Linked DNA regions of Xenopus tropicalis. The protein of the gene in region 1 binds, or shares a complex with, the protein of each later gene. Links are inferred from orthologs where the notes say so. Each region holds a gene or a part of one and is shown on either strand. Other genes may lie near its edges.

The links.
Region 2: the proteins of ap1g1 (region 1) and ap1s1 are in contact, whole or in part, in a crystal structure (PDB 1W63), measured with the Mus musculus proteins. The link is inferred for Xenopus tropicalis from reciprocal best matches to the Homo sapiens genes AP1G1 and AP1S1. Residues at the interface, in NP_001288140.1 of Mus musculus: Leu7, Arg8, Ile11, Arg12, Arg15, Leu54, Tyr55, His57, Met58, Gly60, Tyr61, Lys78, Phe79, Thr80, Arg83, Ile84, Leu87, Met90, Leu91, Asp94, Glu95, Thr115, Phe117, Leu123, Cys124, Gly127, Cys128, Tyr152, Lys155, Lys156; in NP_031483.1 of Mus musculus: Met1, Leu14, Arg15, Leu16, Gln17, Lys18, Trp19, Leu21, Ala22, Thr23, Asp25, Arg28, Lys29, Arg42, Lys45, Met46, Cys47, Ser48, Phe49, Glu51, Lys56, Gln74, Asp75, Asn76, Glu77, Leu78, Ile79, Leu81, Glu82, Leu83.

What each region holds. Positions count from the first base shown.
Region 1 is NC_030680.2:59,329,924-59,334,299, reverse strand, and holds the start of ap1g1 (AP-1 complex subunit gamma-1), read right to left. Parts: upstream 3,085-4,376; 5' UTR 2,749-3,084; coding exon 2,734-2,748; intron 1-2,733. UniProt on the Homo sapiens protein: Subunit of clathrin-associated adaptor protein complex 1 that plays a role in protein sorting in the late-Golgi/trans-Golgi network (TGN) and/or endosomes.
Region 2 is NC_030679.2:143,417,680-143,422,058, reverse strand, and holds the start of ap1s1 (AP-1 complex subunit sigma-1A), read right to left. Parts: upstream 3,023-4,379; 5' UTR 2,982-3,022; intron 1-2,981. UniProt on the Homo sapiens protein: Subunit of clathrin-associated adaptor protein complex 1 that plays a role in protein sorting in the late-Golgi/trans-Golgi network (TGN) and/or endosomes.

The DNA.
Region 1 (4,376 bases):
ACTCTATCAGCTCCAACTACCTGCTGTATCTCATTTGCTCTTTTCAGTACTGCCAGCTGAAAGAATTTCTCTCTAACAAAAACCTTGTCACTTCTTCACAGTAGCGCTGACACTGTGAGTAATCACTCCCCATCTTTCCCACTTGATCCACTTATAACAACAACTGTTATTACTGCAGTCAACATGCTTCCAATGTCAGCATCTATTAAGATACTATTATTAGCATCAATAACAATATGCTACCTTAAAAACAAAAGTTAAAAACATTTTGTCTCTTACTGTGACACAGCTTTGTCAATGCTATACATATATGTTCGATCTACAAATAAAACTTGTTTGTGGTGCGTAAAACCAAGATTTTATTTTTCTCTTATAACCAAGTCTGGGCTCTTCGCATATGTCATGCAGCCTCCATATCAACCTTACTGCTCAGGAAATGTAACCAGCAAAATAGTCCTCTCTTACTGGACCTTTATGCTACTGTCATAAACCTGCTATTTATCAATAGATATTTCTATAATTTAATTTGAGCCCTCATTTATTAGCTAATGCAGCCTAGAATGTATTTGGTTTGTGAGCAAACTCAGTGCCTCATATGGTCCAAAAGGAGGAACTCTGGTACTTAAACTTACAATACTGTATCCTGGGATGATACACGGAAAAAAATAAATGTATTAAAAAAAGCTTTATTTACAGGAAAACTTAAATTTTTTTTTTTATAATAGAGATCTGCAATGTTCTGGGGTATTGTTATTCAGTTTTTAAAAAGCAAATATTCCACTTTATTTGGAATGTGCAGGTCAGTAGCAGTGCTCTAAATTATAGTTGAATGTACATGCCAGGACTAACTTGCACTTGCTCAGTAAGGGCAAAAGGAGAACAAAACTAAAAAGGAGAACAACAAAAGGCGCTTGCGCATAAACAATGAAAATGACTTCTAAAATGTATATGTAAATAAAACTGTGAAGCATGCACTATGGAGGTCTCTAATGCACATTTCTGGAAGCAGCAGGCAACTGTACAAAAAATACATGCACCTATAACTAGCAGGCAGTATAAATCAGCTGCTTTTACTAGGAAACCAATTTTATTGAGTCAGCAAAGTGATTATTTAAATTAAAAAAAAAAAGTGTTGACACTTTGAAGATATTTTAATTTGTATCAGCGGTTTCCTAGGAGAAAATCATGTTACTAGAAAGGGAATGTAATTTTGTCCTCTTTGTTAACCAACATTCTACAAGACATCATAATGTAATACACAACATGTATTTCAACTAACCTACGTGTTGCTACTGTATTCAAAATGTAATTATCTATGAAAGTTACAAAATTATCTTACACAGTAATTACTTAGGTACCGTGTTCCTCTAAAGGTTAGGTAGTCCGGCAAAATATGTTACTTGGAAATAACAAAGCACATGTACAGCATGCATACTGTCATATTTAAAGCCTATAATAAATGAATGAGATACGGTGTGTAATACAGGTATGGGGCCCATTATCCAGAATGCTTGGGACCTGGGGGTTTTCTGGATAAGGAATCTTTCTGTAATTTGGATCATTATACTTTGTCTACTAAAAAATAATTTTTTTTTAGTAGAAAAAACTTTTTTTTTTTACCTTCAATAAGGATTATTATGTCTTGGTATCTGTATATGGTACTGTTTTATTATTACAGAGAAAAATGAAATCCTTTTTAAAAATGAATGGTTTCATTAAAATAGGGTTGATGGCCTTCATATAATCTGGAGCTGTTTGGGTTTCCTGATAATGGATCTCATACCTGTATTATGTGTCAACACTATATAGATCCTGTATGCTTTTATACTTTTCCATAGTGGATTACAGGCTCCTGACATTGCACACACACACACACACACGTATATAAAAGATGAGGGGAGTACTAAGATATAGGCATAAAGAATGAGGTGTACAGAAAAACTTGACATACATGGGCATAAAGATATGGTAAACAGACCCTTCAATTATTGGGTGGAACATGAGTGTAATGGCCGCCAATGAATGTTCCCTCTAATTCGTTCTTGGCTATGTGCTTAAAATAATTCTTTTGGGCGCACATTTTAACTGTGTAATCCACAATTTGTTGTGTGCACTGGCCTCAAAATTCACACACAAAGCTAACATTGCCCCAGCTGGTGTACAATATCAATGTAAGCCTATGAAAAATGTCACCTTCCCCAAGGGCTGTGGGGCCAATACATTTCCAGTTATTCCATGTATACCAACAGACGCAATACACACAGACTACATAAGAACTTATATATAAGCAGACAGAGTGACAGCAAATGAAACCTCAAGTGTCCCTTATAGTGGACAGAAATCACAACACATATGAATTAACCCACACAGACTTTTAGCTGTCACAACCCTATCTCACAAGAAGGCTATCCAGATGCACCTCAGAAAATCCCTAAATGCCCCTGCCATACATATAGTCACTTGTGCAACAAGTCTAATGCCAAAGTCTTTCACGGACACCCTTCCACCAGATCACTGAAGCTACATTAATATTTACTGACACAGACAACACACGCGTTATCAGGCTTTCGTTCTGTCAGTGTCCCTTCACCATTGCATACAGCCTCTGGTCAGTGATCTTCCACTTTCTTCCTCACGCCCCACTATTCACAAATTAAGTGTCACTGATGCCCTCAGAGAGATTCTAGTCACACTATTGCTGTCAGTCCCCTCCAACCTGTCACTAGCCTCCACCTTAATCACTGTCATTAGCCAAGGGTCTTTCCTCTCACCGCCCGGTACTGCTGCTCTCTCCACGGCTCCGGGACAAACCAAAATGGCGGCTGCTGGGCCGCAGCACCGCGGCTGTGCGGAAGGATCCCGTAGAGTCACCGGCTTCAAGACCAGCGGTCAACACTCCGGATCTTTATAAAAACGCCAAACGTGTTCCAAACGACAGCCTGTATACCGATCGGCTTCGGAACTCAAGAAGCCACCCAGGGCCGGAACTCTTTGCTCTACGCGGAGGGACACTGGCAAGTTGACAGGGCAGCCAGTGATGACGTCAACTCTGTGCCCCGTCACTACCAGACCCGGAAGGAAGAGAGGGCGGTGCCCCTATTGTCACGTGCCACCTGACCCAGGTAACTATGGGCGGGGATTATGTCAACCAGAGTTCTGAGCTTGTCATTGAGCTTCACTTCCTGTGATTGTGCCACAGCCTGTTATACTGACCTTTCTAGTTAGGGAGCATTAGCCAAAGCCGTTCCTGTAGCGCTGCCTAATTCTCACATGGAACTGGAGCCAGCCAGTCGCTCTGCTAGTTGCATATGTGGGCAGACGGGGAACCCTGGCGGCAGTATTATCGTATTTCCGTTCCTAATATATATTGGAAGTCCTTCCCAAGGGTTGGAGACCTGGCCAGTAAACTTGATTGCAAATAAAGCTAAAAACATAGAAAGGATGTAATTATTTTTTTTTTTACAACATTAGAGGTCCAACATTTTGCATTTCAACTAGTAGGGCTTATTTAATAATATCTGCACTAAAATGAATAAACTTTGGTTTTTCAATAGCCTACTAGTCTACTACCAATACAGATATGAAAGAAAATACATATTTTAATGCTGTAGATAACTTCCCTGGTGCAATTTAGTCCCTGCAGTATGCTTGAAAGTTTGTGAATCCTTTAAAATGTTCTATATTTTTATATAAATGTGACCTAAAACATCATCACCTTTTCAATCAAGTCCTAAAAGTAGAACTGAAAGTAGAAATGAAGCAAAAAGTATTATATTTGGTCATGTATTTATTGAAAAAAATGATCTAATAACATATCTGCGAGTGGCAAAAGCAAGCGAATCATGCTCTCAGTGTTTGGTGTGACCCTCTGGTGCAGCAATAACTGCAACTAAATGTTTGCGGTAACTGTTGATGAGTCCTGTTGACTTTTAGCCATGGAATTTTAGCCCCTTCCTCCATACAGAACAGCTTCAGCTCTTGGATGTTGGTGGGTTCCCTCACATAACAATTGGATTAAAGTCAGGACTTTGGCATTGCTTTTCCAGAATATTTACTTTATTCTCCTTTAACCATTCTTTGGTAGAACGACTATTTAGGATCATTGTCTTGCTGCATGACCCACTGTCTTCTGAGATCAGTTCACAGACAGATGTCTTGACATTTTCCTTTAACACTCTCTGCAATAGTTCAGAATTCAGTGTTCCATCAATGATGGCAAGCTGTCCAGGCCCAGATACAGTAAAACAGGTTCAAACCAGAACACCCCCACCATCATGTTTCACTGATGGAATAAGCTTCTAATGCTGGAATGCAGTGTTTTTTTCTCCAAATGTAAAATGCCAACAATTTCTTTTTTATCTTCATCCATCACCAAA
Region 2 (4,379 bases), on another chromosome or scaffold:
TCACTGAGGGGATCTGTGCCCATATAAAGGCACAAGGCTGCAGGCTGAGTTATACAGGGAACTCTGAGTATCACTCATGTATTATAAGGGGTACTGTACCCCCTACAGTAAATGATAAGGATATTAGCAGTCACTGAGGGGTTCTGTGCCCATATAAAGGCACAAGGCTGCAGGCTGAGTTATACAGGGAACTCTGAGTATCACTCATGTATTATAAGGGATAATGTACCCCCTACTGTAAATGATAAGGATATTAGCAGTCACTGAGGGGTTCTGTGCCCATATAAAGGCACAAGGCTGCAGGCTGAGTTATACAGGGAACTCTGAGTATCACTCATGTATTATAAGGGATAATGTACCCCCTACTGTAAATGATAAGGATATTAGCAGTCACTGAGGGGTTCTGTGCCCATATAAAGGCACAAGGCTGCAGGCTGAGTTATACAGGGAACTCTGAGTATCACTCATGTATTATAAGGGATAATGTACCCCCTGCTGTCAGTGAGCTGCAGACTTGGGAAGGGAGGGCGGGAAGCTTGGGTGCCTGCAGGTTCTTTCCCCTACATAGAGGGTAGCGGTGATGTGTGGGTCGATCCGACCGCTCCCAACCTGAACCGGCTTCTTCCCTGTGTTTATATACCTGCACCCACCCATCATGATGTTAGAAAAGGGGCGGAGCACGGTGGCCACGCACCTCATGGTTGCCAGGTTGGTGGTTTTCCCTCCAAATTGGGCTACTAATTTAAAGCCCTGGCTATATAAGGTACAAACCCGCCAAGGTACAGTTTTGGGCTATTTTTTGGAGCCTTTGGCAAGTTTGTAGTTTGGAAACTAGCCAAAGTTTTTCCACCCTAGTGTGCCTGTTCCACTGGATGCTGGGTAATGTAGTTTGTATCTAACAATTAGCCTACAGCTAGGATTAATATAAAACTACAATACCCAGCATGCAATTGGACAGTATAGACAGAGGCTCCCATTTCTATTCTATTCAGGCTCAACCTGTCTGCCCTACACCCTGCCCCCTGCTCTATAGGGTATGTGATTGTACTGTTACTTTCTACTGGGATGTGGGGCAGTTCTACCCCCTGCTCTATAGGGTATGTGATTGTACTGTTACTTTCTACTGGGATGTGGGGCAGTTCTACCCCCTGCTCTATAGGGTATGTGATTGTACTGTTACTTTCTACTGGGATGTGGGCAGTTCTACCCCCTGCTCTATAGGGTATGTGATTGTACTGTTACTTTCTACTGGGATGTGGGGCAGTTCAACCCCCTGCTCCCTGCTCTATAGGGTATGTGATTGTACCGTTACTTTCTACTGGGATGTGGGGCAGTTCTACCCCCTGCTCTATAGGGTATGTGATTGTACTGTTACTTTCTACTGGGATGTGGGGCAGTTCTACCCCTGCTCTATAGGGTATGTGATTGTACTGTTACTTTCTACTGGGATGTGGGGCAGTTCTACCCCCTGCTCTATAGGGTATGTGATTGTACTGTTACTTTCTACTGGGATGTGGGGCAGTTCTACCCCCTGCTCTATAGGGTATGTGATTGTACTGTTACTTTCTACTGGGATGTGGGGCAGTTCAACCCCCTGCTCTATAGGGTATGTGATTGTACTGTTACTTTCTACTGGGATGTGGGGCAGTTCAACCCCCTGCTCCCTGCTCTATAGGGTATGTGATTGTACTGTTACTTTCTACTGGGATGTGGGGCAGTTCTACCCCCTGCTCTATAGGGTATGTGATTGTACTGTTACTTTCTACTGGGATGTGGGGCAGTTCTACCCCCTGCTCTATAGGGTATGTGATTGTACTGTTACTTTCTACTGGGATGTGGGGCAGTTCTACCCCCTGCTCTATAGGGTATGTGATTGTACTGTTACTTTCTACTGGGATGTGGGGCAGTTCTACCCCCTGCTCTATGGGGTATGTGATTGTACTGTTACTTTCTACTGGGATGTGGGGCAGTTCAACCCCCTGCTCCATACTCTATAGGGTATGTGATTGTACTGTTACTTTCTACTGGGATGTGGGGCAGTTCTACACCCTGCTCTATAGGGTATGTGATTGTACTGTTACTTTCTACTGGGATGTGGGGCAGTTCTACCCCCTGCTCTATAGGGTATGTGATTGTACCGTTACTTTCTACTGGGATGTGGGGCAGTTCTACCCCCTGCCCCCTGCTCTATAGGGTATGTGATTGTACTGTTACTTTCTACTGGGATGTGGGGCAGTTCTACCCCCTGCCCCCTGCTCTATAGGGTATGTGATTGTACTGTTACTTTCTACTGGGATGTGGGGCAGTTCTACCCCCTGCTCCCTGCTCTATAGGGTATGTGATTGTACTGTTACTTTCTACTGGGATGTGGGGCAGTTCTACCCCCTGCTCCCTGCTCTATAGGGTATGTGACTGTACTGTTACTTTCTACTGGGATGTGGGGCAGTTCTGCAGTTGATCCCATATATATATCATCTCTGGGGTTAATGCAACATTCTGAATCCATTTCTGTAGTGACTTCCCAGCGGGACTGGGCACAGAGGGCAGGGAATTAGCAAGGTATGGAGCCAGCCCACACATCACTATCGGGGGTAATGTTTAGGAGCGGGTAGGGAAAAACTTGACTAGAGAGCAGGGATTTATAAGTGAGTGGGCTGGGGGAGGAGTCAGGGCAAGGGGGTGTGGTTAGGCTGGATAAATCAGTTCTATGCTTTTTCCAAGGGGGTCCCACACAGGAGCTGCACCAGGATTGGCTGAGCAGCCTTAACCTCGCCCCCCACCCTTCCAATTCTCATGCAGCTTTAAACAGACTAAAACTTCCCTGGCAAACGCGCAGCACTACGGGAAGCAGCAGGGGACAGAACATGCCGGCACCCCGGCTCCCTTCCCAAGCCCACAGCACCGAGCCCGGCTACTGTAACTAAGCGCAGCCCCGCCCAACACTCCCGCTTGCCCTGACACGGTACCGACTGGCTACTTACACCTCCCGCAACGCTGTTCCCCGCAAGCTCCCGGCCTCCTGTCTCCCAGCAAATCCCGTTTCCTCACGCGAGATTTGCGGCGTCATGCCTGTACGTAAGGGCTGTGACGCTTCACGTAGAAACCTGAGGGCGGGGCTCGGTGCGTCTATAAAATGCCTTGTACCTTGGCCGGCTTGTGTAGTGTATGTAGGTATGCCCAGGCGGTTTGTCAGAGAACTGCAGGAGGCTCCGCCTCCTTAATTGATATAAATCCCGCCCACTGGTACCTGAGAATGGAGGCGCCTGGTTATCATTATACCAATGCATTTAGCAGAGCCGCCTCCTGTGAAACGCACTGCCTGCTCCCCCTCCATATCCCCCATTTCTCACCATCTTGCTGCCTGTTCTGTACGCGGTGACTCCTTATGCTGCGGCCTGCCCCCCAGGCCGCCGTCCCCGGCCTCTCGTAGCTGAGTGTCCGGAGCCGCTTCCTCCTCCTCCCCCGGCCTCACCCATAAGGGCGGAGGGAAGTACACCTGCCGCACATGCACACTGAGGCGGTTGAGGCAATGCCAGCTTTCCCTCCCGGTATCCATGGTAACGGGCGCAGACATCAGGTGACCCCGGGGCAGGTTTGGGCGGGCTCTTACCTGCGCTACGTGTATGTCCCTGAGCTGTCAGGCAGAGGGAGGAGCTTGGGGCATCTCACAGGAAGTGCCTGGCTGGGAAGTCAGAGATAATGCTGAGGGGAAATACATTCACTGCTGTCATTTTGCTCCTTATTTAATTTTTAATAATCACTTGCTCTTGGCCGCCATTAGCAATCACGGGGCCCCTCCCATCAGTACAAAGGACACACAGACATTAAAAGTATCAGGGGCCCTCAATTACCCCTATAGACATTTCCCCCATACACAGTGGCCCCCCATACACAGTACCCCCGATTGCCCCCTTACACAGTGCCCCCATACACAGTACCCCCAATTTCCTCAATACACTGCCCCCATACACAGTACCCCCAATTTCCTCAATACACAGTGCCCCGATTGCCCCCTTACACAGTACCTCCAATTTCCCCAATACACAGTGCCCCCCATACACAGTACCCCCAATTTCCCCAATACACAGTGCCCCCCATACACAGTACCTCCAATTTCCCCAATACACAGTGCCCCCCATACACAGTACCCCCAATTGCCCCAATACACAGTGCCCCCCATACACAGTACCCCCAATTGCCCCAATACACAGTGCCCCCCATACACAGTACCTCCAATTTCCCCAATACACAGTGCCCCCATACACAGTACCCCCAATTGCCCCAATACACAGTGCCCCCATACACAGTACCTCCAATTTCCCCAATACACAGTGCCCCCATACACAGTACCCCCAATTGCCCCAATACACAGTGCCCCC